Linked DNA regions of Arabidopsis thaliana. The protein of the gene in region 1 binds, or shares a complex with, the protein of each later gene. Each region holds a gene or a part of one and is shown in the gene's direction. Other genes may lie near its edges.

The links.
Region 2: PSRP3/2 (region 1) and rps18 share a complex: the UniProt entries of both Arabidopsis thaliana proteins name them as parts of the 30S ribosomal subunit.
Region 3: PSRP3/2 (region 1) and RPS17 share a complex: the UniProt entries of both Arabidopsis thaliana proteins name them as parts of the 30S ribosomal subunit.
Region 4: PSRP3/2 (region 1) and AT1G64510 share a complex: the UniProt entries of both Arabidopsis thaliana proteins name them as parts of the 30S ribosomal subunit.

The regions. Positions count from the first base shown.
Region 1 is NC_003076.8:5,139,626-5,147,757, forward strand, and holds PSRP3/2 (Ribosomal protein PSRP-3/Ycf65), read left to right. Parts: upstream 1-3,364; 5' UTR 3,365-3,474; coding exon 3,475-3,741; intron 3,742-3,995; coding exon 3,996-4,280; 3' UTR 4,281-4,467; coding exon of another isoform or gene 4,468-4,917; 3' UTR 4,918-4,981; downstream 4,982-8,132. Other genes in the region: AT5G15750 (Alpha-L RNA-binding motif/Ribosomal protein S4 family protein), read left to right, coding at 1,824-1,957, 2,079-2,186, 2,666-2,740, 2,845-3,076; GNA1 (glucose-6-phosphate acetyltransferase 1), read right to left, coding at 4,468-4,917; AT5G15780 (Pollen Ole e 1 allergen and extensin family protein), read right to left, coding at 5,273-6,282, 6,477-6,672. UniProt on the Arabidopsis thaliana protein: Component of the chloroplast ribosome (chloro-ribosome), a dedicated translation machinery responsible for the synthesis of chloroplast genome-encoded proteins, including proteins of the transcription and translation machinery and components of the photosynthetic apparatus.
Region 2 is NC_000932.1:61,612-68,823, forward strand, and holds rps18 (ribosomal protein S18), read left to right. Parts: upstream 1-6,305; coding exon 6,306-6,611; downstream 6,612-7,212. Other genes in the region: petA (cytochrome f), read left to right, coding at 46-1,008; psbJ (photosystem II protein J), read right to left, coding at 1,927-2,049; psbL (photosystem II protein L), read right to left, coding at 2,193-2,309; psbF (photosystem II protein VI), read right to left, coding at 2,331-2,450; psbE (photosystem II protein V), read right to left, coding at 2,460-2,711; petL (cytochrome b6/f complex subunit VI), read left to right, coding at 4,101-4,196; petG (cytochrome b6/f complex subunit V), read left to right, coding at 4,387-4,500; psaJ (photosystem I subunit IX), read left to right, coding at 5,318-5,452; rpl33 (ribosomal protein L33), read left to right, coding at 5,877-6,077; rpl20 (ribosomal protein L20), read right to left, coding at 6,901-7,212.
Region 3 is NC_003070.9:30,039,185-30,046,593, reverse strand, and holds RPS17 (ribosomal protein S17), read left to right. Parts: upstream 1-4,641; 5' UTR 4,642-4,671; coding exon 4,672-5,121; 3' UTR 5,122-5,351; downstream 5,352-7,409. Other genes in the region: La2 (RNA recognition motif (RRM)-containing protein), read left to right, coding at 84-138, 288-372; AT1G79870 (D-isomer specific 2-hydroxyacid dehydrogenase family protein), read right to left, coding at 743-1,261, 1,378-1,800; ROPGEF12 (RHO guanyl-nucleotide exchange factor 12), read left to right, coding at 2,502-2,892, 2,976-3,130, 3,216-3,290, 3,397-3,660, 3,760-4,422; GL2 (HD-ZIP IV family of homeobox-leucine zipper protein with lipid-binding START domain-containing protein), read right to left, coding at 5,581-5,961, 6,035-6,121, 6,206-6,477, 6,561-6,951, 7,046-7,150, 7,240-7,409. UniProt on the Arabidopsis thaliana protein: One of the primary rRNA binding proteins, it binds specifically to the 5'-end of 16S ribosomal RNA. Required for optimal plastid performance in terms of photosynthesis and growth. Required for the translation of plastid mRNAs.
Region 4 is NC_003070.9:23,952,165-23,960,487, reverse strand, and holds AT1G64510 (Translation elongation factor EF1B/ribosomal protein S6 family protein), read left to right. Parts: upstream 1-4,183; 5' UTR 4,184-4,210; coding exon 4,211-4,663; intron 4,664-5,252; coding exon 5,253-5,495; 3' UTR 5,496-5,685; downstream 5,686-8,323. Other genes in the region: AT1G64530 (Plant regulator RWP-RK family protein), read right to left, coding at 1-291, 455-668; RPN12a (regulatory particle non-ATPase 12A), read right to left, coding at 2,368-2,508, 2,598-2,709, 2,805-3,068, 3,149-3,251, 3,546-3,624, 3,925-4,029; AT1G64500 (Glutaredoxin family protein), read right to left, coding at 6,112-7,218; AT1G64490 (DEK, chromatin associated protein), read right to left, coding at 7,948-8,322. UniProt on the Arabidopsis thaliana protein: Binds together with bS18 to 16S ribosomal RNA.

The DNA.
Region 1 (8,132 bases):
AGGTTATGAACAGGTTATTGTTTTAAAACACAGCATTATATCAGCCAATATATATCAATATATAGACGATGTTCGGTCCAAAAATCTAGATCAATCTCCTTCATGTTTGCTATTCGAAAATGATTGTTATTTATATCAAATCGTGCGTGTAACATCGATTGATAAATATTGGAAATTTAAGTAAAGGCCAATTGTCACGTAATGACTTGAAAGCATCTCCAATGTAATTCAGTATTTATTTCTTTTCACTTGACGATAGAAGAATTTGATTAGAGATGAGTTACTTATTGAGCGAATTAATGTACGTTATTTTCTATGACCATATACATTCCACCGACATCGGACATTACACTGCTGTCGGAACTTAATGATTTATTTTTCTAAATACGAATACATTTCTCCAATGGAAAAAATCTAAGAGTTTTAAGATTTTTCTATAACTGTAATTGTCATTTCAACGAAGAGTTTAAGAAGAAAACAGAGAGAAAAGCGTGTAAATATCTGTAGTTTTAATCAAATGGGTCATTTCTATTTCAGTCTATATATTTAATCAAAATTGCAATTCACAAATTTTAATGCTTACGTATTTTAAGTAACATTAAATGAACATCTTCGTCCTAAAAGTTACTTGATATTAATAGAAAGGTAAAGTAACAGAACAAAGCATTAACGATATATTTATATTTCAAAACTTACACACAAGTATTCAGAATTAAGAAAAGAACAAAACAAATAAAGGAGACGTTTCTGCGATTATGTTTTTGCTTGAAATAGAACAAACAAACACGTATTGGTAAAGAAACCAATAACTTTGAAGATAGCTTAAACGCAAAATATATAGTGAAAAAAGGGAAATCAACAATTATTATATATCCCCACGAAACTCGGTGTCGGTGGCTCAATCATCTTAACACTCTAAACTTTTAAGCCCATTCGTGCGCATGCGTGTATGTATATACGTGTGCATTGGATTTGAAATTTTGGTCGTTATCGAGAGTTCTAGTAGATTATGCATTTTGTGTAACAAGTGTAATATAATTGGGACCCTTTATTACTTTCTATAAAACTTAATTCTTTTAACCTATAGATCACCCGTTTGTCAATTATATCAATCAAGGGTCCCTTATTAGCTGCATTTTCCGATCGATAATAGAGAAGATCATCCAATGCTTTACAATCACTTCCATGCGACCTCACATACAATTACTTCCATTGCATAGTATGTAGTAAAACTATATATTTTGCTTCCAATGGATTTGATGCTTGTTTATGCTTAGAACTTCCAAATAATCTTTTTTAACGTAGCGAATTGATTTTGCATTCAAAGCACCCTTAGTAAATCCGTTTCCTAGTCTAGTCCCATAATTAAGGTAAAATCTACATGGGCTTCTCAGGCCCATAATGAGAAGTTTAAAAGGCTCAACTCAACAAGATTTAGTTATGCTAAGGCCTTACAAGTTACAATCAAACAGAGGATAGGGACCGTCGGATTTATCTGACTTCCTCTCCTTCGATTAGGGTTTCTGAATTACTACTCCTCTGCCAATTAGGGTTTAAGCCTCTCCAGCATTTTCTTTCAGCTCAAACCCAAGAACCTCATCGCCGATTATTTCTTCATCCTTACTCTATCCCGCGCCGATTAATCTCTCTCAGGTAAACTACTTCAATTTTACTCATAGACTAATTGTACAGAGATTGATAAATCCTATGTTGTTCCCATTAGAATGTTCAAGGGTTTATGATTATTCAGGATTTCAAATCTGAATTATTGGACAAATAAACCCTAATTTCGTATAATTTGCATATCATCAGTACCGTCCGAGATGAGAAAGCTCAAGTATCACGAGAAGAAGCTTATAAAGAAAGTAAATTTCTTAGAATGGAAAAGAGAAGGTAACCATCGGGAAAACGAGATTACGTATCGATACCACATGGGCTCTCGTGATGATTACAAAAAGTTGGTACCTTTATTTGCTCTTAAAGCTCTGTTCTACTTATTCTTCTTCTTCTGGTTCGAGTGTTTTGTGATGAACAATGGTCTTTTTCTGATTCTTGAGAATGTTTTTTCTTTTGGGCAGGTATTCAGGATTGTGTAGGATGGTGCAGAAACTGACGAATATAATGAAACAAATGGATCCAGCAGATCCTTTTCGTATTCAGATGACTGATATGCTTTTGGAGAAGCTGTGAGTTTTTTAAATATATATACCAGTTTGTTCAAGTATAGAGCTTATTACAAGCAATGGTTCTTTGTTTTCTCTAGATTTAGGTCGTAGAACATGAGACTTGATCATTTTCTGCAGTTTTTTACACCGATCTTATCTTAGAGACCTCCTGTTGTTTTTCTTGTTAACCACTTTTAGAGATAATTAAAATTGGGGGTCCTTATGCTTCTATATAGATTTTAGGACCGTTGGTTTGAAATCCATTAGAGGTTGAATTCATCCTGGTAAAATGTGTGATCTAATGGGTTTCTTTCAGAATCTGTTTCTTGAATAGCTTCTACATAGAGCTAAGTTACTATATAATATAGGCTTATTGTATAGGGAAAAAGAGCCATCCTACTGAAACTTGTTGATTGCGTAGTTCCACTCTGCAATGAGAAAACTTGTTCTCTTAATGGCTGACTGACTTGTGTTTCTTACATGTACGCTTGAAACGGCAGATATAACATGGGTGTTATACCGACTAGGAAAAGCTTGACTCTAACTGAGCGGTTATCAGTTTCATCCTTCTGTAGGTAAGAGTATATGCAAGAGCCTATATAGGCAGTTACTTAAACCCTTGATAGCCAAATGTTCTCATTTCGTTTGCCTCATATCGGTTCTTTTTTTTTATTTGCAGGCGTAGGCTATCTACTGTGCTGGTTCACCTGAAGTTTGCAGAGCACCACAAAGAAGCTGTGACATACATAGAGCAAGGACACGTTCGTGTAGGACCAGAAACAATTACTGATCCAGCTTTCTTAGTAACTCGGAACATGGAAGATTTCATCACTTGGGTTGATTCATCCAAGATTAAACGAAAGGTTCTTGAGTACAATGACACATTGGATGATTATGACATGCTTGCTTAGCTTTGAGGAAGTTAAAAAAGACTGATGTTTTGTAAAAGCCAAAAAAGGTTCACTGCTACTACTATTGCAGGGTTTGTTTGGATTTTTGAATATGCAAATGTGCTACTATTCCCTTGTCTTTAATCTTACTTTCGATCTATTTGCAAGAAGAAACTTGAAAACAAATGTCATGAAAATATTGAATCTAACTCATATTATCGTCAAATTGTATAAGTTGGAGCCACAGAAATGGATGAACATAAAATATTAAATCTAATTATTATTTGACACTTCAAATTACAAAACCCGTTTGATTCGATCCGACCCGACCCGACCAGAAAATCGCAAAACCTGTGTTTTTGCTTTCCCCGGTCTCTCAAAATAAAATTGCTCGCTTAGAAGCTTCAAACGCAGCTGAAATGGCGGTTCAAGCAAATCAGAGTGCTTCTTTTGGGTTCAGAACAGCTTCACCTTCTCAGAAGCTCTCTTCGAAACCCATAGCTCATATCTCTCTATCGACGAAGCTCAAACCCTCTTCTCGACCATCGCTTTCGTGCTCTACTTGGAATCAGGGTCAAATTCCGGCGAGACACTCCTGTATCAATCCCGGAATATTCGCATATCCCCCCTCCAATCTTACCTTCTCTCATGAACTACCAGAATCTGAATCTCCGCCACTTGGAAAGGTCAGTCATCGTCAAAAAACTTCTCTTGGAACAAATTGGGGTTATAAGCTTGTTAGACAAAGTTGCAGCCTTTTTTTGTCATTTGAACGAAAATGTGGTAAACCAAATGTATTGTCTCCATCTATTTAATTGTGGTAGAAGAGGCAGTGTGTGCTAGTGTTAAACCTCCCTTATGTTGCTTCATTGTGAAAACTTTTGTGAAAGGAAGTAGAGATGTATGATTCTTCCCTTGTTATCGTCATCTTATATTGCAGAAGAAGATGCGTGTGTTAGTGAAGCCGCTAGAGAAACCAAAGGTGGTACTGAAGTTTGTATGGATGCAAAAGGACATAGGAGTTGCATTAGACCATATGATTCCAGGATTTGGAACAATCCCACTTAGTCCATACTACTTCTGGCCTAGGAAAGATGCTTGGGAAGAGCTCAAAACTTTGTTAGAGAGCAAGCCTTGGATCTCTGAGCTTCATCGTGTCTTCCTCCTTAACCAAGCTACAGACATCATCAATCTTTGGCAATCAAGCGGTGGAGATTTGTCTTGATTTGGATTCACCAGATATATCTGTTTATCATAGGTATCATTAACTTTTCAAAGTCTAAAGCTTTTGTGTTGTTTAGTCTATCATTAGTCCTCTGTGTAATCATCGAAACTCGAAAAAACTTCTATCATTAAAATGGCGAATTCAAAACAAGAAAACAAAAGATCATCATCATCATCATGATGAACGTTTAATCGAAGTACTTAGACATTTGAATCGATTTATTACTCATCCCACATTTCTCATAGAACACTTTGTTCTCCACACTACAATCTAGAATCACCTTATAGCAACCCATTGATTTGCAATGATCCATAAGAAACTCAACAACTTTCTTCCCCAGCTGTTTCCCGCGAAACCTTGAATCCACAACAACGTCTTCAATGTGCCCAGCTTTACCGCAATTCCTCAGAAACTTCTTCTCTATCATCACACTACCCGTAGCAGCGATTTTTCCCGAAGTTTCTTCTTCGATCACGCAGATCACGTGGTCGTCACCATACGATCTGATTTCTTCGAATCGCCGATCGAATTCTTCGTCTGTTACTGATCCGGTGACGGTTAGTTGACCTAGAAGCTCGATGAATCCTTTTCTCTTATCGGAGATCTCCAGTTTTCGGATCTTGAATGTCTCAGCCATAGAATCAGATCGGATAATTTTGAATTTGAGTTTTTTTTTATAAGATCCAGTCACTCACTGGAACTGAATATAATCACCCATAGAAAAACAAATGTGATAATTACGAAAAGGTACTTATTCTTTTAGATAGTTACAAAAAGTTTCCGAATCTCTTAATGAAGTCAAAATGGGCCATTTGTTTTTTAAATTGACTTTTGATGTAACAAAAGCAGCAAGATAAAAACTCCATAGTAAACAATATTTATTGAAATGACAACAAGCCAACAAGTGAAAATGCAGAGGAAAAAAGTAACAATTTAAAGCGGATGATACATATAGATTACATAATTGGAAATGTAAGGAAAGGATTGCTAATTTAGGGTTGATGGTGACTAGAAAAGGAAGGTGAAAGAGGAGGGATTCCCGGGATGAGAGGGGCCGGAGGGATTCCAGGGATAAGAGGGACCGGAGGGATGCCAGGGAGTCCAGGGACCGGAGGGAGCGGAACAGGGAAAGAAGGTGGTGGTGGCGGTAGTGAAGGCGGATTCACGATAGGGACAGGTGGAAGAACCGGAAGAGGTGGAAGAGTCGGAATTGTTGGAATCGGTGGCAGAGTAGGAGTCGGGGGAGTAGGAAGTAACGGAATTGTAGGGAGAGTTGGGGGAGTAGGGATTAGTGGGATTGGAGGGAGACTTGGGGGAGAAGGAATAAGCGGGTTTGGAGGGAGAGTAGGGGTTGGGATAGAAGGAATGAGCGGGTTTGGAGGGATGATAGATGGCGGGTTTAACGGGTTTGGCGGAAAGAAGAAATTGGGTTTTAGTGCTTCGGTTTTCTTGTCTTTCAAGGAATCAGATTTCTTGTTATGCAAGGAAGCTGATTTCTGAGGTCCTGGTGGAAGAAGAGGAGGAACTAGAGGAAGAGGTAAGTCCGGAACAGGTAACTTTGGAACAGGTAAGTTTGGAAGAGGAGGAACGATAGGGAGATTTGGGAGAGGGGAAGGATTAGGAGGATCTTGGAGCGGTGGAGGAAATGAAGGATCCGGTAAAAGAGGCTTGGAACCGCGGAGATTGATAGGTTTTTGGCTACAAATCTCTGGTTGGTTTTCGGGTCTGAAAGTGAAGAACCCTGCAGAGAAAACCCTAGTATTCTCTCCATGATGGTTTGATTTAAGGCGTTTGAGAGAAGAAGAAGTAGCAGACGAAGCTATAGAACAGTAAGGCTGTGAGCTACTTAGCAACTTCACAGAGCATCTCTTGATCTTCTTCACATGTTTGCTCACAGAGAATGGTAGCTTCACTTTGAATTCGCCGCGCTTGTCTGTTTTCACTTCTTGTCTGAAACTCGGTTTCGAGTTCTCGTCAATGCATTCCACTGCAACTAAAGCACCTGCAACAAGATCCACAAAACTTTTCATAATTCTTTCTAAGATTTTAGACCCACAAACAAGAAAAAACCCTATAAGTTTCCAAAACAGAGTGCTCTGTTCTAGAATCCAAAAAACATTATTTTCCAAGTAGTGTTACCAAGAAAACACGAGCAAGACTGCAAGAGGAAAAAAAAACAAAAATCAGAAACCAGACCTGAGATTAAGTGGTTGGGTGATTTCGAGAAGGCGCCGTTAAAACAAGTGTCACAGTAGACAGTTCCTACTACAACTGCAGAAGAACGTGTCTTCTTCATAACATGTTGCTGTCCTTGAGACAAACCTCCATTGATAGAGATTCCTAAGAAAATCATAAGACTAAACCAAAACCATAAGGTCGTTATTCTCTCCATAATTATCGACTCTATCTCTCACTATCGGAGGAAAGAGGGGGTATATATATAGGAGTGTGGTGTGAAGATGAGTGAGCCACGAAAAACGAAGAGATTGTTAAAAGATGAGTGAAGCTTATCTCTTTTTGTTTTGCCATGTTAATAAGAATCATGGGAAAAATACAAAATCGAACTACAAAGCTAGCTACTATAATGTCTTGTGACCCTATCTTTCTACAGCTCAGTAGCTGAATTATTGTAAAAAATAGTAAGAGGTGAGAAAAAAGACAACACTAATATTTTGGATTCACGTTCGCGTGTCGATTAGATTTGATCGAACAGTACACGGTAAAAACACGTTCAAAGTAAAATACCAAACCTGTTATATCATTGTTTCTTGAATTGCGGGGTTGCTAAAACTAAAAAAATTCAGACACATATGATTTTTTTTTTTTTTTCTGAGTTAAAGGTTCCGAAGATGAACATATCTGAGATACTTTTGTGTTGAAAATATCTGTTATCATCATCTTTCCCTTATTTACATTCTGAATTTTGGATGAGACTAAAACATGACATGATGTTTTCATTTCCAAACTGTGAATCACTGTCTGTCATGTTTGATGTTTATAGTATAGTCTACATCCATGTTTTTTTAAAGAATGACATTTACAATCATTATTGTTAGAAGGATATCCTAATTGTCAATATTACATCGAAATATTTATTTTTAGAACATCCGAGAATAGATGATTAGTTACTGTGGTGATGATTTTGATAGTTAACTAATATCAGTAACAGTCTATCATGGACGGATTTACATATTTCTAATCGGTAATCCAAACTAGATGTAAGAAGAGGTTACAGAGATTCATTAATTCGCAATATAATTGTTCTAAGAAACTTATACATTGCTTATTATACATTTGTTTATAGATTTGGAGAAACATATAGCCAGTGAGGCTAAAGTTGATAACTAGACTTAAGTAAGTTATAGTTTCTATTTTCTTTAACAGAGGAAACAATACATGCAATTTAAGAAAGTGAAGGCTTATGGGAATGAGAATGGGGAAGGGAATACAGTTGGAGAGTCTCTGTCGATTCACGAGACACTAAGGATGTCCACACAATCATATATACCCAATTCTTACTTCTGTCTTCTTATAGAGTACTACATACATACTCATTCTTGATAAGGGACAAAAAATTAAATAAAATGAGTTAAAGAATGTGAATGTTTTTTAATGGTATTAAAGACTCTGAATGTTCTTCTCGAATTTTCATATTTTAACTTTTGATTTTTGTGTTTTTTTTTAATCAGGAACGCCGTATGTGCTAAAAAAAATACCATTTCATGAGAATAAACAAATTCTATTAGTCGACGACATAAAAAACAACAAACAAACACTATGGTGGATTATAGATAGACTAGGGAATATTGTAACTTTATAAAAAATATTGAAAAAATATGAAAACATTGTAAA
Region 2 (7,212 bases), on another chromosome or scaffold:
CTAGCTAACTTTATTGTAGAAATTTTCGGGATAAATGATTGGACCATGCAAACTAGAAATACCTTTTCTTGGATAAGGGAAGAGATTACTCGCTCCATATCTGTCTCACTCATAATATATATAATAACTTGGGCATCCATTTCAAGTGCATATCCGATTTTTGCCCAGCAGAATTATGAAAATCCACGAGAGGCGACTGGGCGTATTGTATGTGCCAATTGCCATTTAGCTAATAAGCCCGTGGATATTGAGGTTCCACAAACGGTACTTCCTGATACTGTATTTGAAGCAGTTGTTAAAATTCCTTATGATATGCAACTAAAACAAGTTCTAGCTAATGGTAAAAAAGGGGCTTTGAATGTGGGAGCTGTTCTTATTTTACCGGAGGGTTTTGAATTAGCCCCCCCCGATCGTATTTCACCCGAGATGAAAGAAAAGATAGGAAATCTTTCTTTTCAGAATTATCGTCCCAATAAAAAAAATATTCTTGTGATAGGTCCTGTTCCTGGTCAAAAATATAGTGAAATAACCTTTCCTATTCTTGCTCCAGACCCTGCTACTAATAAAGATGTTCACTTCTTAAAATATCCTATATATGTAGGTGGAAACAGGGGAAGGGGTCAGATTTATCCTGATGGTAGCAAAAGTAACAATACAGTTTATAATGCTACGGCAGGAGGGATAATAAGTAAAATTTTACGAAAAGAAAAGGGGGGATACGAAATAACCATAGTGGATGCATCGAATGGACGCGAAGTTATTGATATTATCCCTCGAGGCCTAGAACTTCTTGTTTCAGAGGGCGAATCCATTAAACTCGATCAACCATTAACGAGTAATCCTAATGTGGGTGGATTTGGTCAGGGGGATGCGGAAATAGTACTTCAAGATCCATTACGTGTCCAAGGTCTTTTGTTCTTCTTAGGATCGGTTGTTTTGGCACAAATCTTTTTGGTTCTTAAAAAGAAACAGTTTGAGAAGGTTCAATTATCCGAAATGAATTTTTAGATCTGTCTATTTAGCTTTATCAAATTCGTAAAAAAGAACAAAAAATTATGAAAACCTTTTGCCTCTCTTTAGATTTGCTATTCCTTTTCGACTAGATGTCAGGAATTACTTATATCATAGTCCTAATACTAGTATGTATATTGAGAAGAATTCACTTTACCCCCCTTTATTTATTTTTCAATAAAAATTTGAAAAATGAGAAGGGGTGTGATGTAACTCTGTCGTTATTGACCAATTGAAATTGATAGAATGTATCAATAATCAAGAGTTTTTTTCTAGTCAAATGGCAAAATTTGACTAGATACTAAAATAAGATAAGGAACACACGCGCCGAAAAAAAGGGGAACCATAAATCGGCGAAACAACAAGTTTTAGGGACTATAGGGAGTATTTTTTGTCTTGCTAGTCTTCGACACAAGAAAAGGAATTTTAGACATCCTTTTCTTGTGTCGATCTTGTCCTTCTTGATTCAATTCGTTAAAAACTCCTATTCTTAGTTTACATATATATATATATATTATAGTAGTTACTTTTTGTAGTTTTCTTTTTTTTTTTTTCAATTTTGATGAAATACTAAATAAATAAAATCAGAAAAAACTTCTATTTCGATTCTATTATAGTATAGACCAAATTTTAAATTTTAATGATAGATCTAATGATAAAAACTATTGTGTCAGCCGGGGAAGCAGGAAAAGGGAATGAAGTGATTCCCCTTTTTTATTCTATCTTTGAAAGATTAAAAAATACTATATGTTCATAATATACTAATTTAGTTAAGTTCATTTTTCAAAAACACGATAAAAAATTGTTCTGATTATTAGCAGTTCAACGGGACCCCCTCGAATCAGACAAAGAAGGAAGAGTTGGGCCCCGTTGAGTTCTTATGTTTTCACGTCTATAACTCAGCTCATCCAATTTCTACAGGGATGAACCTAATCCTGAATATGAACCATAAAAGAAAATACCTATTAAACCGATCACAAGAATACCAGCTACAGTACCTATTACCCAAAGAGGAATCCTTCCAGTAGTATCAGCCATTTATCCCGCTTCCCTCCACATTTAATCGAGTGGTCATGCTAGAAACATAAACAGTCAGAGATAATTATTATATATAATCCATCCGAATGGGATAATAAAATTACTACTCTTTATTTTTTATTTTATTATTCTACGCTCTTTTCTTAATTGAAGAAATAATTCGAAAATAAAACAGCAAGTACAAAAATGAGTAATAACCCCCAATAGAGACTGGTACGATTTAATTCAACACTTTGTTCGTTCGGATTTGATTGTGTCATAGCTCTATAATTGAATTAGGTTTATCGTTGGATGAACTGCATTGCTGATATTGACCCCAAAAAAGAAACGGTAGGTACAGCTAGTCCATGAACAGCCAACCAGCGCACTGTAAAAATTGGATAGGTCCTATCTATAGTCATTGGGTCCTCCTAAAAAGATCTACTAAATTCATCGAGTTGTTCCAAAGGATCAAAACGGCCTGTTATTAATGGAATGCCTTGTCGGCTCTCTGTAAAATACTCGTTTGGACGAGGGCTCCCGAACACATCGTAAGCTAAACCGGTGCTGACGAATAACCAGCCCGCAATGAATAGGGAAGGTATAGTAATGCTATGAATGACCCAGTATCGAATACTGGTAATAATATCAGCAAAAGAACGTTCTCCTGTGCTTCCAGACATACTGAACTCCAGATATTCTCGTAGGGAATCGATTCTGTAAAAGATGAATAAGTAAATTAAAATTCACTGAGATTGCATCTTTGTGAGATCGTCAATAAAGTACCAAGGGTATTTTTAGAGTCTACCGAATCAGTATAGCTATCCTTCTTCTGACACAGCAACGCAATTTGAATTAGTATAGAAATGGGGTGTTACATAATTTCTTTTTTTCTTGCTTGTCGATGTATAACCGTGTCCCACTTTTTCAAATTACTGTAATCTATAGGGGCTTTGATCCTTTATTCGTTTTGGACTAGAAAATAAACTAAAGATTAGATAAAATGAAAATCCAAGAAGTTGGTTTCTAATTCTAATAATTCATGAAGCAAATTTTCATATGGTCCCAAGTTAATTGAATGAAAAATTTATAAATTTCATTTTCATTGCATATGCATAATTGTAGAATAGATTTTTTTATGATAATGTGATCCCCCCTTTTACTTTTTGTTTCATTTTAAGGAATTAATTTGCAGAAACAAGAAAAAGAACAATAGTTTTGGATTGGATTGGATCAATTAAAAAGAACAACAAATAAAAATAATAAAAAAAGACTAAATATTTGTAATGCGTGCATTGTTTTGTTGTATTCAATTCACAATTCAAAGGTTTTTTTCTTTCTTTAACTAACTACAAGGGTGATGGGTTTTTCACTCTATTTTCTATATAATCTCGAAAGAAAAAAACCTAAAACCTCGAAAGGAAACGATAATAGAAATTGCTAATTACAAGTTTTAAAAATCTAGTTATCGTTTAAAATCTAGTTAAAATAAATAAATCTTTTTTTTTACTAATCTCGTTCTCCGTGTAGGATACCTCTTTTCTTTTTAGTCTCATTCGATAGATTAAATGAAGAAAACTGCTCTACTATTTAATTTAATCTAATGAGTTTAAATTTTAGTAAATTCAATTTTAATAAAGTAGAAAGAGGCGTATTCTAGGTTCTAAGGTCAATAAAAAAAAAGAATCAAACAACTTATTTTCAAATTTTTACATATTCATTCAAAAAAAGTTATATGTTTTGACTGAAGTTAGATAATAGAGTTATTTTTTTTATGTATTATTTTTTTTTATGATTAATTTCTTAAAGAGTTTTTCAATTAATAAGTTACGTTAATTCTGACTCCTGAGATAGTGCAGATGCCAAAGACGATGAATTGAGTTCTTTTTATCTTTCTCTATTTTTTTTCATACCACCTATAATGATTGATAATTCACAAATTTTCAATTGAATTTTTTTAATTCTTGGAACTAGTTATCTTTCTCTATTTCTTAAAAAAAATTTCAATTGAAACTTAGGGAAGTACTTTAAGAAACATATGTATAAAAAAACATATTTTATTGAGTCCCTTCATGCCTACTATAACTAGTTATTTCGGTTTTCTACTAGCAGCTTTAACTATAACCTCAGTTCTGTTTATTGGTCTAAGCAAAATACGACTTATTTGAAATTAATTGAATGCAGATTTTTTTATAAAAAAGGATTTCGTTGGTATTTATTAATATGTTCGATAGTTCCTTACCGTGTTAATTACCAAATTTTGGTCATTGAGATTCATTGGCAATACAGATTAAGAGCTAGGAATAGATAGTACCTCTCTTTTCTCCCTTTCAAAAATGAAAACAAAAGAAAATTCAAATGATTGAAGTTTTTTTATTTGGAATCGTCTTAGGTCTAATTCCTATTACTTTGGCTGGATTATTCGTAACTGCTTATTTACAATACAGACGTGGTGATCAGTTGGACTTTTAATTAATTAACATCTCGTTTTTTTACTAACCTCCTTCTTGCTTTCCTATGCGGGAGGTCTAATTCAGACTGCTGCTCAGTAATTTGTGAACAGTGGAATTTTGATACAATCTATGAAATCACGCTCTGTAGGATTTGAACCTACGACATTGGGTTTTGGAGACCCACGTTCTACCGAACTGAACTAAGAGCGTTTTTCTTTTTTTTTTTTTCTAAAAAACGAAAAGGCTAGAAAGAGGGCATTCTTTAACCCGACTCGATTTTGTACGTATATACTATATCATACATAGTATATCATAAATTTCAGAATTAAATGTATGTCCGATAAAAAAAATTGATCAAAATAGATACCTCGTTACTGCTCTTCTGAGCAGTAATAGGTAGGGATGACAGGATTTGAACCCGTGACATTTTGTACCCAAAACAAACGCGCTACCAAGCTGCGCTACATCCCTTTCAATAGGTTTACAGTGTCATTGTAGAGAATTCCTGTCTTGTTTTCCACATCCTCCTTCTTTTTTATTGGTATATCAAATTCATTTCTTCTTTTTTTCTCATATCAGATAACAAAGATATAATTAAAAAATTTACTTTTTTTTTTTTTTTTATTCTCTCAATTTTACATAAATAGGCCTTTACGTTTTCAAATGGAATCGATAAGATCGTTCTAGTCGACAATATTAAAATTCTAATTTTGAAAGCGGGGGGACGGAAGTTACATATACAAATACAAGAACTTCTTAATTACATGTACATCTGTAATTATATATATTACTATATATAATGTAATACAATAAAGAAGAAAGAAGGAGGATTTCTAATGCGAGATCTAAAAACATATCTTTCCGTAGCACCGGTACTAAGTACTCTATGGTTCGGTTCGTTAGCAGGTTTATTAATAGAGATTAATCGTTTATTTCCAGATGCATTAACATTTCCCTTTTTTTCATTCTAGTTATTAACATCAGAAAGGGGTGAAAAATTTAGAGATACAATCAACAATCGGGGACTAACCCCCCCACCTTTTCTAATTAGTAGAATAAATTAGAAAAGGTGGGGGGGGGGGGGAAAGGTCATAAAAACGAGGGTTCAGGATCCAATGAAATTAGTAATAGAACGAAAAAAAGTGTTGCTAGGGAACCTATCAGATACTTAAAAAAACTACTGTACAAAGATTTTAAATATAGTTTTCACAAAATCATAAATCATTGTATTACTTATTTTTTTTATTTAATTACTAATAAATAAAATATTAATTGTAACGAAATATTTCAGAATTTTTTTTAGTTAACAGCTTCTATTTTTTTTGTTCTTGTTCTTTCTGGATCCTAAAATTAAAATAGAAGATTGAGGTGAATCATAAATCCAAAGGAGGTTTCATGGCCAAGGGTAAAGATGTTCGAGTAACAATTATTTTGGAATGTACCAGTTGTGTTCGAAATGATATTAAGAAAGAAGCCGCGGGAATTTCCAGATATATTACTCAAAAGAATCGGCATAACACCCCTAGTCGATTGGAATTGAGAAAATTCTGTCCCTATTGTTATAAACATACAATTCACGGGGAAATCAAGAAATAGATCAAATTGAGTGCTTGTATGTCAACTTTTATTTTAAGAACAGGAATAATGCTAGTATCTATATATTATTACATATATATAAATATAAACAAATAAATCAATAGAAAGAAATCTAATCCGATATTCTTAATTCTATATAGAAATTCTATCCTATATAGAAATAGAAATCGTTTTTATTTTGATCCGATCAAAATAGGATTTTAGAGATAAGGAATAAAAATAAAAATTATGAATAAATCTAAGCGACTTTTTACTAAATCCAAGCGATCTTTTCGTAGGCGTTTGCCCCCGATCCAATCGGGGGATCGAATTGATTATAGAAACATGAGTTTAATTAGTCGATTTATTAGTGAACAAGGAAAAATATTATCTAGACGGGTGAATAGAGTGACTTTAAAACAACAACGATTAATCACTATTGCTATAAAACAAGCTCGTATTTTATCTTTGTTACCTTTTCTTAATAATCAGAAACAATTTGAAAGAAGTGAGTCGACTCCTAGAACTACTAGTCTTAGAACCAGAAAAAAATAGACTTATTTTTCAATTGAATAACAATTCCAATCTGAAGGAATTAAAAAAGAGATTAATGTTTTGTTCAAAAAATCCAATCAAGAATAAAAATTTGATTGTTACGTCTGTGTCTATTATAAAAAAAAAAAGAAAAGAATCGTCGAAAAGCATAACTCGTTTTTTCGAAACTATATACTCTCGTTTTGTTTTGACGACTTTTTTTTTAATACTAATTTCTACTCTACCTTCCCCGAGCTCATTCTCCTTAGAACTCTATTTCAAATATTTTCGTGGATTTCTTCCAATCCCCTTATTTTTTTATGTCATTCGAAATTGTATAAAGACAACTCCTATTTAATAGAGCTATTTGTGCAAGTATTTTCCGATTAAGAAGTAATTGCTTCTTGTATAGATTGTGTATGAATTCATTATAACTATAGAATACCCCCATTTCGTGAATTACGGCATTTATTCGAGTGATCCATAAACGGCGAAAATCTCTTTTTCTTTTACCCCTATCCCGATGAGCCGAAACTAAAGCTCTTATTCTCTGTTGAGTCATAGTTCGTGTAAGCCGTGAATGAGCCCCTCGAAAGCTTGATGCAAATAAACGAAGTTTTGT
Region 3 (7,409 bases), on another chromosome or scaffold:
CAATTCCATGGTGTTAGTTATACCAAAGAAATGGAGTTAATCATAGAAACGTTGAAAATGACTAGTGTACTAATGGCCTTCAGGGGAGATGGAGAGAGAGTTGTGGAAAAGACTATCATCAGCTGAGCTGGAAGGAGGGTATGACATCAAACCAAACCTTGTTTATTCTTCATTGTAGGGAACATACTTGGGATTTGGCTTGTACCACCACTCATTTGTTCTCCTTGCTGGTACTTCATTGGTTGTTTACCAACCTAACTCCAAGATTCTTTGTTAATGTGCATCAGGAAAGAAGGTCACAAAAAGGAAAAAGGCAAAGATGAGTGTTTTGAAAACGTGCAACCTACCAAGAAGGCCCGAAAGGAGCCCTAATTAAAGTTTTGGGTTTTGTTTTATGTCATCCTCTTCTCTACGTTTTTTTAGGTTCAGCTGATTCTCAACAAAATAGATATTGCTTCACTTGACTGACATCTATGAGTAGTTTTGTAAACGTTTTTTGGTCTGGGATGGTTAATGACTTGACGTATTGCCGTATGCGCCACTCGTATACTAGACCAATACTTTGTGAAAAGAAAGATGAGTAAGAGACATAAAACGGAGAGGATTCGCCTAGTGTTCAAATCCGTTCCTTATATACGACAGTGCAACTTTCTTTTGGAAGAGAAATTACCCTTTTCATGAGTTCGTTAACATAAAAACCTTTCAAATGAAGTGAAACCAAATCCCAAATGTGTCACATGACTCAGACGACCGGAGTCAGAAGTGATTTCCCAGAAAAGTGCGCTTCCAAGTTACCCACGACAAGATCGGCCATGGCATTCCGTGTTTCCACAGTGCCACTCCCAACGTGAGGGAGGAGAACTACATTCTCAAGGCCAAAGAGCTCCTCGGGCACGTGAGGCTCCTGCTCAAACACATCAAGGGCAGCCCCACCTAGGCGGCCTTCTGTTAGAGCTTTAATAAGCTCTTGCTCATCAACATGTGGTCCACGGCCAATGTTTATGAGGACGCCCTTAGCTCCTAATGCATCCATGACCTGCCGGTCCACAATGTGTCTGGTCTGCTCGGTCAACGGGCATGCGACGACGAGGATGTCTGAGTTTTGAGCAAGGTCAACCACCGTCGGATAATACTTGTAGGCGACATCAGGCTTAATGGTTCTTGAGTAGTAATTGATTGGGCAGCTAAAGGCTTCAGCCCTCTTTGCGATGGCAGTCCCAATTCTACCTAGACCAATGATCCCCACGGATTTTCCACTAAACTGAGTCAACCAAAAGAAAGAAAGAATGTGACGCTAAAGCAGAGATAGAAGACCAAAGATAAGATAGGGCAGAGAGCTCTTTTCCAATCAATCAATAGTGGGTAAGAAGTAGAAACCTTGGTAGTGAGTTGGAATTCACCTTGCTTCCATTTTCCGCTCCTTACATAGCGATCGCACTCACACAGCCGTCGAAGGAGAGCCAGGATAAGCCCGATGGCGAGATCTGCGACGTCTTCGGTGAGAACGTCGGGGGTGTTGGTGACGCGGATCCCTTTTTCTTTGCATTTCCCCAAATCGATCTTGTCGAGCCCGACGCTGAAGCTGGATACAATCTCAAGGTTGGGCAGATCGCTGATGAGCTGAGCATCGGCGCCGGCAGAAGCATTCCCAACGACGGCGCGGATGGAGTTCCGATGAGTTTCTAGGAGGACGGATTTCTCCGGAGAAGTCCAGAAGCGAAGAAGGTTGAAGCGCTTCTCAAGCTCGTTCTCGAGGTAGGAGGACATGGGGCACATCATAAGGACTCCGATTGATTCCATATCTCCTTTTCTCTGTTTTTTTTTTTTATTTTTCTTCTGCAAATGATTGAGTCAGTGAGAGGTCTGTGTATAATTTATCGGAGGTTGACGATAAAGATGGGCCTATTTTTGGGCCCATAATTGATATTATCCGCTTTTTATGGGCCACTAAATGACCCTTTTCAAGTTTTCCTCTTGGTTCCGAAATCATGACTTATGTTTAAAGACAACATTGCACGTTTGATGATATTCATGCAAATTGTTGTAGGATTCATGAACATGATACAAACACAAGAAGACATACACTGTATGTGTATGGAAACGTAGCAGATTCCCCGTTGACATTGCATGTTTAGGGAATCCAGTGACAAGGGTGTAATCACATTTTAGTATGTTACTATATGATAACATTTTATAATTTAAACGGCTCTCTATCTCTAATTATCAATGTTCAAAATCCTAAATAATGATTAGTTAAAATTAAGAGGTGTGGTCTGAAACATGCGCCCCACGTCCCATCTTCCAAAAAAAGGAAGCAAAAGAAGAAAGCTCCACAATTTTCTCAAAGCCAAAATCACTGTAACAATTACCCTTTATTGTTTTGCGGCTCGATTAGCTTCTCCTTCCCTTTTGATTCTCCCCATCTCAAGAGAGGCCCATTTGATCCTCTCTCTTTCTCTCTCTCTCCTCTCTAATTCTCTATTGCCATCAAGAGACCAGGAATGGTTCGTGCTTCGGAACAAGAACAGGAAACCTATAGGAGCAGGCTCTTCAATTTCAAATGGAGGAACAACGACAACAATAGTGCTACGAGACACAACAAGAGTCTCAGCGTCGAGACCGGTTTAGATGAGGCTGCCACCGGATCCCATGACGCTGAACCATTGACCATTATTCATCCTAGTCAGGGTCCACCACTTTCAAGATCGGCTGCGGATGAAGCAGTCCTCGCCGCCCTCGCCGCCTCACAGGCTAGAGAAAGGCAGCTTTTGGCAGACATGGAGCAGATGAAAGAGCGCTTCTCCAAGCTGTTGCTGGGAGAGGACAATTCCGGTGGAGGCAAAGGAGTATCCTCTGCTCTCGCCCTTTCAAACGCAATCACAAACCTTGCAGGTTGCTTTAGGACCCTCTTTTGTTATTACACTTAGTTTATATTAACCAGCAACCAATATCTCATGTTTATCTTGTTGGTATAGCTTCCGTGTTCGGAGAGCAACGGCGCTTGGAGCCAATGCCTGCAGAAAGAAGAGCAAGATGGAGAAAAGAGATTGATTGGCTTCTCTCCGTGACCGATTACGTGGTTGAGTTTGCTCCATCTCAGCAGAAAAATAAAGATGGGACCAATATGGAGGTTGTCTATCTGCTGCTGCTGCTGCATTATATTTCATTTGGTAACATACAATGATTCCCTTATTCTGTTGGTATTGATTTAACAGATAATGACCACACGCCAACGTACTGACCTCCACATGAATATCCCCGCATTGAAGAAACTGGACGCCATGCTCATCGTAAGACCTCTCTCTCTCTCTCTCTCGTTGACCAAATATCAACCCTACTTTAATAATTTCATTTAGGATATTCAAAAGCATCCTCTTATCCCCCTTTTCTACCTAGGATTGTCTAGAAAATTTCAAGGACCAAAGCGAGTTCAGCTATATCTCAAAAGACTCCCCTGACTTAGACGGTAAGAGAAACGACGAAAAATGGTGGATTCCGACCGTCAAAGTTCCACCAGATGGTCTATCAGAAGCTTCAAGAAGGTTTTTGCAGTACCAGAAAGATTGTGTAAACCAGGTTCTAAAGGCAGCCATGGCCATAAACGCACAGGTTTTGTTCGAGATGGAGATACCTGAGAGCTACATCGACTCTCTCCCAAAGGTAAAAAAAAAAAAAGACACCAACAATTGATGTTATTGATTAGAAGAGTTGATGAAGAATAATACTCACTTGTTTAGTTTGTAATAAATAAATAAACAGAACGGGAGGGCGAGTCTCGGGGATCAGATGTACAAGAATATAACGGTGGACTTCTTTGACCCGGACCAGTTCCTGAGCAGCATGGACATGTCGTCGGAGCACAAGATCGTGGACCTCAAAAACAGAATCGAGGCATCAATCATTATATGGAAACGCAAAATGGTTTATAAAGACAACAAATCATCGGCACCCTGGGCCTCCGGAGTAAGTCTGGAGAAGCGAGAGGTCTTCGAAGAGCGAGCTGAGACCATTTTGCTCATTCTCAAGCAAAGATACCCCGGGATTTCTCAATCTTCACTCGACATCAGCAAAATCCAGTTCAACGAGGACGTGGGCCAGGCGGTGCTGGAGAGCTACTCGAGAATACTGGAAAGCTTGGCCTACACGGTACTTTCCAGAATCGATGACGTTTTAGAGGCAGATCGAGCGGGGAACAAGAGGAACACGCCATTGGAAGCAGAGGAAGAGACGCTGGTTGGGAGCATGACGCTGTCGGATTTCATGGGATGGGACTTCGATCAGGCCGCGAACGCCGAATTGGAGTCGAAGAAGGATCTACCGGATGATCCGTTGATAAAGGAGAAGCTAAGCGTCGTCACGACCAAGAAGACCTCATACCTCGAAACCCTAGGCGGTGTCAAGAGTCCAACGGCACGGCATTGATATTTGTGTGGAAAATTAGGCGCAAAAAAGAGCGAAGACAGATTTATTGATTATTTAATTATTTTTAGGATTCAAAAACTTTACAAAAGGGCTTTTGTAAATTCCTTTTTATGAAAAGGTGGGCTTTTAAGATTAGGCCCAGTTTATTGTAAAACCCATTTACCATCTGTATACTGTATACATCCCTTCTAAATAGTAGTAGTACTCACCTTATCTTCATTTTCATCGATTCGATTCCAAATCGGAAGGATGATAACGTCGTCCCTAACCTCATCTCTGCAAGCTCTCAAGCTTTCGTCTCCGTTCGCCCATGGCTCCACTCCTCTCTCATCTCTCTCTAAGCCCAATTCCTTCCCGAACCACAGAATGCCCGCTTTAGTTCCGGTCATCAGAGCCATGAAAACGATGCAGGGGCGCGTGGTGTGCGCAACCAGTGACAAGACTGTGGCGGTGGAGGTGGTGAGGCTGGCTCCCCACCCCAAGTACAAGAGGCGCGTGAGGATGAAGAAGAAGTACCAAGCTCACGACCCCGATAATCAGTTCAAGGTTGGCGACGTGGTCAGACTGGAAAAGAGCAGACCCATCAGTAAGACTAAATCATTTGTGGCGCTTCCTGTCATCGCAAGGGCCGCCAGGAAAGCCGAAGCCGGAGGAGATGAACTCCTTGGCCTTCCCTTGGAGTCTCAGCAGCCGGCGTAGAGAATGATTGCTCTTTGTTTCTTTTGGTAAAGCCGTCTTTTTTTTGCTCTGCTTCTGTTTGTTTGTTGTGTATCCCGGAACCAGTGTAATTTATGGAATGCTTTTGTGATTTCATTGCTTATGCCATGAGTGTGTTTTCAATCTGATTGTTTCCGACTACCAATTGTTTGCTCTTACTTCATCTTCACCTCCAGTTACATTTAGAATGTGAATTAATATGTTTCTGTTGCTACTGTGTGCTTGTGGTCTCAGTGATCCGACTTTTGTTTCTGCTAATTCTACGGTTCTTGCTCCTCTTGTTATGGTTCATTTGCCAATGGAATGGACCAAAAAGGTGTTGGATAATAATAGGATTGGAGAAGAGAGAGCTGGTCGTTTTTGTACAAAACTTTAATGCACTGCTGCTATACATTATCATATAATTATATATAGGTAAATAATATCTGCTGTGACTTGTCATCAGCAATCTTCGATTTGTAGACTTCTCTTAATGTTGTGTAGTGTGACTGAGACGAGGTTTGTCACGGATTCCACAGACTCCATATTCAGCTTTGCTGCAGGAGAAGGGTTGATGAGGGTTTGGAGGGCGAGTGTCAGGAGCGACCCTCCTTGGCTGTTTCTGTCGTCTTGTGTAGACGTTATTACCAGTGGCCGTGACTCTACTCCATCAGGTATGATTGAGAATCCAGAGGGGAGGATTTGGATGTTGCTTGGATCATGTCCCGCGAGCACCAGCTGTGTCGTGTTTATATCTACGGGAGCGTATACCACCACCGACTCATACGAGTTAGTGCTGCTGTCTTGCAGCACCCATATGCTCTTTTCTCTCGATTTCACTGTCTGGAAATGTATAGAAATTCAGATTATCAAGGCCTAGACAGATTTAGAGGAGGAGAAGACAAAATAAACGCACCTGGATTGCCACTGAGTTGCCTCTGTCTTGTCCCTTGGATAAGTTTGCAATAGACTGAACATGAGCTCCGTTTGACAAAGCATCCCACTGATGATATGTATCGTTAGATAAATATATGAGTGGAAACCGCTTTTCTTGTTTGCTTAAATGTGTGTGAATTTGACAAGGTACCTCATGCCGACGAGCTTCATCTCTAAAGAAATCGAAGAGAAGAGCTGGAGAAACAGGTAACCACAGCGAAGAAGAAGCGCAGACAATGACTCCCGTGGGCTCGCCAGGATCATGAAGGTTCTTCCTGGAAGAAACCCGCATGTCTTGTCCAGTTTTGGTGGTGATTTTGGTCCATTGATGGTAGCTTGATGCAGCAATGGCGCGGTAGAAGCTTTGTGTCATTCTCTGAGCCATCTTCAGCACACTCTTTCTCCCGGCAAGAGTTGTAACTCCTGATTATCAACAGAGGAGTGAAAAGGTTATATATAAAGAAAGATAGAGAGTGTAAATGGAGGATCCGGATATATAGACGGACCGAGAGAGTCTTTGGTGGGGACGTTGGTAGCCATGAAGAAGACAAGGCGTTCGCAATGGAGCTGAAGGGTGGCGACCCAGTGTCGAGCCCCAAAGGCCAAACCGGTGTTGACTAAGGAGCGGAAGAGAGGCTGAACTGTGGATGCAGACACGTCGAGGTGCTCCACCCAGGTGACCTTGGAGTGACCGTTGGAGGTGTCCTCGATGATGCAACCGGAGGGGAGTTTTCGACATTTCAGAAGAGAAGCCTCCTTCTCCGTGTTGCTGTCCTCCACGGAGACCGAGACGTCCACTATTGCCCATTTCTCAGGGCTCAGCTGCCGGCAGCTTCTCACGAAGTACACTTCTCTTGTGGGGACGACCGGAGTGAGCAGCTGCATCTCTCCGAACATCTGCCACAATAGTTATAAACCATATCCATCCCATGTATCAGCTGAGTCGTCATTCATCAATTATCACTATATGTATATATTGATGAGTACTCACCAGCTGAATAGCCCCGTCGATCCGTGAAGGCCCTTCGCCTTGCCGGATAACATCGACCGTTGCAGCCTTTGAGATCAAGCATGCAAATGTCTCTTTCCATTGTCCCTGCGCGTTACACGTACACATCAATTCCTTTTTATACACATAGAATAAGTTATAGTAGCTGGTAACAGTAATAAATAATGGAAAAGTACCACGTCCATGAAACTCTGGGCAAGTTTATGTGCGTCCATAAACACAATCCCCGCATCTCTAGATGCTTCGATGGTTTTCCTTCCAGGAAACGAAGAGGCTTGCGCTTGGGGAAACTCCTTGAGGTACTCATCGTAGTTGAGAATCTCACGGCCAGTCTCAACGCTGCGGA
Region 4 (8,323 bases), on another chromosome or scaffold:
AAAACATATACGTCAATGAAACCATCCTGTATTGATTAAGGCCATTACTATTGGGACCAAGAACAAATGGCTGTCCTGAAGTTGTAAGAACATATCGACCACGGTTTTTGACAGGCGCCCAAACCTGAGCAAGAACATGTTGTTGTCCAGTAGATTCCTTGAAGTATCTAAGCGCTTGAGTCATCTTGGCTTTGATGGCACAGTAACTATCTGGATTCTCCAAAGGCATTATACCCCATGACGGAGAAGGAACCTGATTATTCTCCTTGGTCGTGGTTTCAGATTCAGAACCTGCATTTCATTTGATTCTATAAATTCCAGATCTAAATTCTACTAATCCGTGAAGTTCCAATAAGATTCCAATGAAGGAGAATATTACTATCCAGAGATTGAAGCATATTCACTACATTATCTGAATTGGATTCTAGAATCTAAACTTTGCATGAAGACTTACTAGCGAGTAAGACGGAATAATCGGTGAAGCGAGTGGGAGCTACTGCGGCGGAGTAAAGCTCGCCGCCGACATCTCCAGAAGTTTCGGAGAAGGACCAGAGAGGAGAGAAAGGTTGTTCGGAGGAAGAGAAAATGACAGGAGACTTGAAATTTGAAGCAAAAGTGATCTGATCTAACGGCCAAGAACCGCTGAGATCCAAGTCGTCAAGTTCCATCAACAGCAGCAGCAAAGACGTAAGACGAGACAAAAACTCGTCAGAGTAAGTGTTAATATCTCCGGAAGTTTCGCCGGAGCTCCTTTTGAAGCAAAAAAAAACTCTTCTGATTCAGCTTCTTCAACAGAAAGAGAGAGAGAAGAAATAAGAGGAGAAGACAAGTTGTAATATTATTTAAATTGGGATTTAAATCTTTTTGAGATAAAATAATTTGATTTTGTTGAAGACATTTGATTCCACGCTGTACCATTTTACCCCAACCACTAGAATATCTCCCATTTCATGCAAATTCTTTATTCTTTGTATTATTTTCTTTAATATTTTTATGAGACAAAAGGCATCGAAATTTTGTTTTTCTATTAATACTAACAAACTTGAATATTAGAACATTGGCCAAAAAAAAAAACTGTATTGATATTGATTGACCATCTCTAGAATATTGGCTTTGACAAAATTCGATATACATAAAACATAAAGGTGTGAATAAATACTATTAGACTATTTGAATAATCGTTTTTAAATGCTGTGATACGATTCTATTTTATTCCAAATGCATTGTTTCTGCCAGAGGCGAATATATGGTAAAGGTTTGTTTTTATCACATTTCAAAAAACGAATTGATTATGTTATATAGAGTAGATCTTTAGACGTTTCTTACACGTCCACCACCATGAACAAAGTTGTCATAGCATATTTTATGCGCCTAAAAGCTTTAAAAAATATTAAATTAAGACGTAATTAGGCACTAAGTGCGTGTTGTGGGTGAGTAGAATAACAACGACTACTATAATTTATTCAATAATAATGATGTTCTTAGCAAATAATTATGATAAACAATGCAATAATTGACGACAATGAAAAAAACGAATCTCGCTTTGGGAGATGAATAAAAAAGCGAGGACATCTAATCGTGATTATTCTTACTCAGCCATTTTCAACTACTTACCCAAAGTGGATCCTTACTTAAGCCCTTTTGCAATACATAAAATTTTTATTAACAGTAACTTGTTTTCCTAGTGGGGACATCTAATCGTGATTATTCTTTCTTTTAATGTTATAATAACTTCCCTAATTTGTTATTTAGCTGTTAATCAATATTTTAACCCCAAGGAGAAGAAATGCTTGCAACGTAAATCCCCACTTGTTTCAAGTTGATGAGTGTTTGGCAATTGACAATTGTGTGTCCCTTGTTCTGTAATGACAATCCTTCCTTCCTTCTTCCATATTTGGACTAGGTTGTTCATCAAAGGAAGGAAGGCCCCGGCTACACTACGTTAGAGGCTCTCCAAATCTGTCCTTTTCATCCACAACTAAACCAAACCCAAATTCAAATAACCAAACTGAACTAAAACATTCCACCGCAAACCAAACCGAAATTGAGTATCCCGGACCACGGTAACTCTGAATTCCAAACTATACCTAGTTTTGAACACCCCTAGAATTATGGACATCATGTTCAAGCAAAGCATCAAAGTGAGGAGGACAGAGTCTCCAATTGAAAACGAGTGAACACTAAACAATAGAATATAACGTAAAAGGATATGGAAAAACAGATTGATATCACAACAAAGTCTCATTGACCCGGAGAAAATACTGAGTCGCTCAATATCGGTCATTACATGATAACAAAGTTTTCTGACCCAGAGATTTCCAGGAACATAACAGAAGAGAAGAGACAAGCAGTGAGAAAAGTCGAATCTTACACGATACGCTCCAGCTCTCTGGCGTAGCTTAGAGTCTGGTTGATGAGTTGCAGAGACGGAATCTCTTTGCACGGTGCAGTTTCTTTGGCTTTCTGGAAGACAACAAACCCTTCCTTCACTTCCCACTCAGGATGCTCCTATAAGATTTGATAAAACCTAAATCGCGTCAATGGTTCATGAAACTAAAAAAGATTCTAAACTTTGCACAAAATGTTTTTTCTCTTACATCTGTGACATAGGTTAAGAGTTCTTGATCAGAAGAGAACAACAACATCTGCCGGGCATCGCTGATAGAGACATAATCATAAGCTTTCTCGCTGCATCCAGCTATTTCATCTCTGTGAATTCAGTCATAACAATAAAAAGGTGAGATAACACGCGAGAAGACATAAGACTGAACTAATTCAGAGAAGGACAGACTCATTGATGCTACCTTATGGTCTTTGCCAAGAGATCCATGAAATAGACGTAAGTTGCATCAGGCGCGGTCTGTCTAGCACTCAACACACGGTTATAGGCACCCTCCATGAAGGATTGCTCAAGCTCTACTGCATGCTTGATGCAAGGATCCTCTAGTGTAGCTGATGAAAGTAATTCAAGCTCGGTGTGGAATTCAGCAATTCTATTTTGTACCAGCAGCCTCAGAAGGTTAAGACCCAGGATAAGATTCTCCTGTGGAGACTGAGGAATACGGTTCCTGGTGCAGAGGAAAAGAAGATATGTTAGACCAAAAGAAAATGAAAAAGATAATGTTCAGACAGTTGGTTCTTTCTTTACCTGGCATCCACATAGTAAGGTTTCAGCTGGAAGAAATCTCTCTCAAAAGCATCTTGATCCTCGGTTTTGACGCTTAGAACAACAGCATGCTCATAAATGTCCCCTAGAATACACCAATTGTCAAAGTTTTAGAAACGGATAATCAATAAGAACAAAAATTACCAATAACTCAATCCAAACCAATGCAGCATTCAACGATTAATGTATACATATAGGGATAGACAGACAAACTAAAGCAGTACAATCCCTCAGACACTCTTCAGTGGTATTTAAGTATAGTTAACAAATAACTCATGAGAATAGACAAATCCAAAACACTCCATGCAATTGAAAGCAAAACTCTAAACTTACTAGCAAATAGCTCATGTAAAACCAATAATGAAAAAGAGAAACTTACTTGCAATAGTCAATTCCTTGGCTGCATTAGGTGAATTCTCGAACAATGGAGGAAGACTTGTGAATTTGGTAAGAAGAACCTGAAGAACACAACAAAACCCCAGCGACATCAGAGACTCGCACCAGTAAATTGTAAATCTAAACCAATCCCAACAATCCCTTAAAGTAGAAAGTTAAAAATTTCATAGCACTTAGCTCTTCTAAAAGATCCTTAACACACTTATATGCTAAAAATTCTCACTTCAATAAATCAAAGCTCTCATAGATTTAAACTCTCGCGACATAACCCATCAATTTTCCCAAAGTTGGTTCAATAAGCAGATATGCAAAGAAGTGAATTGAAACAAATTAGGGTTCAAAGAAGAGAGAGAGATGTAGACCTTAAGCTGAGACAACAGATCGCTACAGGTATTGTAATCCTTCCTCGCAAACGCCGCCTTGAATCTCTCGAACTGCTGTGAAACTTCAGTTAGCTGCGGATCCATCGCTTCTATGGTTTTTTCTCTTCACCGGCGACGATTCTTTTCTTATAGATTTGATTGCTCCGAGAACTGGCTTGATCGCGAAGACAAATAATACAGATAGAAATAATTGTCTTTACAAAACGGGCCTTTAACAGGCCCAATAACCTAAAAAGGCCCATGGTGTACAATAGAATTCTGACTAATGTGTACCATCATCATCTCTTATCCAAATTTTACTCTCTCATCTCCTCTTTGCTTTCACAATCTCACAACAATGGCGTCTTCGCTGTGTGTATCAAATTCCACAATTTGCCCTCTGCCTAATGTATCTTCGCAGCCGCTGCTATCATTCTCCCACTCTCTCAGGCCATTCATTTCCAAGTCGAAACCTATGTGTGCCTCGATACAGAAGAGAGATGGCTCTCAATTTGTGGTGAAATCTCAGGCTCTTGACTTCTCTGGAACTTTCTTTGAAGGTGGATTCGGGTCGGATGATGACCCGACTTCTCCTTCCGGGTCGGGAGTCTCAACTGCCCTTGAAGACAAACCGGAACCTCAGTGCCCACCTGGGCTCAGGCAGTACGAAACAATGGCGGTTTTGAGACCAGACATGTCTGAAGATGAACGGCTTGGTCTTACCCAGAAATACGAAGAGGTAAGTAAAAGTCTCCAACTTTACCTGTTTTCTGTTTCATGTCAGAGGGAAATTTGATTATTTGAGAGAGAAAGAGATTTTAGGATTCAATTAGAAGTTGAGTAAGAGATCACTAAAAGTTGTATCTTGTGTCTGTTCTTACACGTTAATGACAAAGCAAGAGAAAATGGTTTCAATGTAGAGTTGTGTAACTTGCAGCTATCAATTGAATGTTTGTGACGACTCCTTGTTAAAATTGAAGTAAAGAGTTTAACTTTCTAAGAGCAAATCTCATCCTTCTGTGGGCTGTGAATTCTTTAAGTCTCAACCATTTGAAACAAGATAGGAGCCCTTAGTGCACTTCTTAGTTTTTTAGTCATGTTTTACCATAACATTTTAACTCAATTCTTGAAATGTCCTTTGATGCTCGAAACGAGCTAATACACAGTTATCATTTGTGGTTTACGCGTGGGTTCTTTTACGCTATATCACATGTTTAATCTAATGAGGAATTCTGAAATTTATGTTCGGAGTAGTGGAAGTTTTTAGTTGGTGCAGACTCTGAAAGATTCATTATGTTGCTGGGATTTCTTTTTGGTGTGTGTGGCAGTTGCTTGTGGCAGGAGGTGGAATGTATGTGGAAGTGTTTAACAGAGGAGTGATTCCGTTGGCTTACAGCATAAGAAAGAAGAACAAAGCTGGAGAAACCAACACTTACTTGGATGGAATCTACCTTCTCTTCACTTACTTCACCAAACCCGAATCAATAGTTCCACTCGAGACCGTTCTCACTGCCGACGATGACATTATCCGATCATCTTCCTTCAAGATAAAGAAGAGGAAGTACAACTGAAGACCATGAACATTGTGTATGTGAGAAAAATGTCAGATTCTTTTTTTGTTTCTTTGTAAGAACAAAAGTAAATCTATCTTTTTTGTATCTTTTTTTGTGCATTGCTCTGCTTTCTTATGTAACTGTGAGAAACTCTTAAAGCTAAGTTTGAGAAGCATACTTGTATGCATTTTCATTAAAAGATTTTAACTAACACTAACTTGCCATAGTTACTATAATGATGGAATTCATATTACTCTGTTTCATAGCACAAAATCCTCAACGGATGCATAACAATCAAACAAAATAGCAACAAAGAACAAATTTGTAAAGTATTCAGGCAGAAGTGACTTTGTTTGCCAGCTTTTACCTTCTGACGATCCAAACTTAAATTAGTGAGATTGTTGAACTCCTTTACGTAATTGATCAAAACCATCAACATATACGAGTGAGAGACCTTGCAAGCTTAGCATTATAATGGTTCACGTTCATGCTTTAACATTTTATGAAAATCCTAGCATAGTTTCAAATCATTTTCAATTCCACAAAATCAAACGTGTCACATACATATAACAAAACAAACGGGACAAAGTATATTTGACACACCTCTATTTGCTTGTGTAAACTAATAATGTTCTTAATTAACAAAACACACGGGACAACGAATCAATCCATTCTCATTACACTTGACACACCTCTCCCACCTTTCACCTTTGGCCGCCCCAACCGCCGCCACCTTACAGCTTCCGCCGCACTCGAAACAAGGCAACCACCTCGCTCCTCCGCACCCTTCACACGTGAGCCTCCCTTCCTCCCCTACTCTCTCCACACGTGCCCACCGCAACACCCTCCCTAACTTCCCGTTCTCATTCATCGCTGTCACTTCCGCTGCTCCTCCCAAGTACCTCCCTTTCACAAACACTCGCGGCGGCGCCACTGATGCTTCGTCTTGGAGAAGCTCCTTAAGCTCGCTCAAGACTCCGGCGTCTAAAGACACGTCCCTCTCGTCCACCACAACTCCTTGCTGCTCCATGATGGCCCTCACACGCATACAATCCTCGTACGTGCGACGCACTCCTTGCAACGACGTCGTGTAGACAATCAAACCTTCCCCTCCTCCCGGCGGACACTTCTCCGGGAACTCCCTAAGTGGGTCCCAGTTCATCACCGGCTTCTTGTTCCCTTCTTTCTCCCTCCGTTCTCTGTCTCTCTTGACGAATATGTTCTCCTTCACTGACCGAGGCCCCGAGTAGGACGACTGAGTGGACTCGGTTCGATCATCTGACTCGGGTCTTAGCTTGGACATCGACTCGGTTCTCTTAAGCTTAACCATTGTCGTCGGGATTTGCGCGGCGATGCTTCTTTTGGCCCTCACTTCAAGCTCGTCCAGTGTGTGGAACGATGCGCTCTTCCGCGGAAGCCGCCGTGGAGGAGTCGCCGGAGGTTTAACAGAGTCTACTTCCGGCGGTTTAACGGCGGCAGGTTTAAGTTTAGTTTCTAGAGATTTGCTGACTTCTTCCCATGTTTTAGGAGCGTCATCACCATCATCATCATCATCATCATCATCCTCGTCGAGACGGTCGAAGACGGTGGAGCGTGGCGGTTTCTCATCATCTTCATGTTCAAATTTTAGCCATGGCTCTTGGATGGCGTTGACATCAAACACCGCGAAACTAGACGGCGGTGGTTTGTAAACGTCGGCGACGACGTTAGCTTTTGCTTGCTTGGAAGATGTACACCCCATTTTAATAACTCTTCAAATTTTGTTCAGTTTTCTTTGTATATGTTTTTGTGTTTACTATATGAAGAAAACAAGAAAATGATGGGTAGCATTTTGTGTGGTCTAAGAGCATTCTCTTATCTAAATATTTTTTGCATCAATTTGTATCCTTCCTAGAATAATGCTTAGTATACAATTGTGGATTTATTCGAGTCCATGAATATTTGTGAAACGATCATAATAAGAATTAGAATGACGACCACCACAAAGTGTGCTTGTGGCTTCAGTGTAATCTACGTGGTGAGTCAATCATATTCTTGACAATTCAATCTTCTAATTGTCGTCTCTCCTAAATGCAAATATGTCAAACTCTACCGAAGAAAGATATGCAAATGTCATTATCATTTGAAGGGTCGATACAAAAATAATGCATTTCATAACACAAAGAGAATATATAGCATTGGAAAAAGAGGTTTCATTTTGATATACTTGAATCTTTTGAGTATCACAATTTCACCAAAACCAAGTTTTTCTTTGGCAAATTAAATGTCCTAATGAATTAGACAATCATCAATTTTTTAAGTAACAAAACATATAACTATTGATGGAGCATGTTACAGAGTCTGATACACTTTGACTTGAAGTGTAGTATCAATGGCTAAAACACTAATTTCAACTAAAGACATCATTCATCGTTGAAATTACACAAAAACCTGAGCAAAGATGAAATTTATCTGAGATGATAAAATTTACCTAAGCAGGTGATGACTCTTCTTCTTCCACCTTCTTCTTTGCCTTCTTCTTCTTTTTCTTCTTCGTAGTCGTCTTCGTGGCATTCTCGGTTACTTCTCCATCAACATCTTCTACAATCTGAGTATGAAGCTTTCCCATCTCAGTATCGATTGTCATAATCGCCTTCTCGATGAAACTATCGACGGCTTCTCTGACGATGATTTTGTACGGATCTCGCGAAAGATCGAGATTCAACTCAGATGAAGCTTCTTCTCGGGCCTTAATCTCTGTAATCTCAAGTAAACTCGACCGTTTCAGGATCTTCTTCACCGTTTCCTTGATCTTCTTCTTCAGATCATTGTCGATCACCACTTGTCTCGCTTCTTCTTCCTCCATT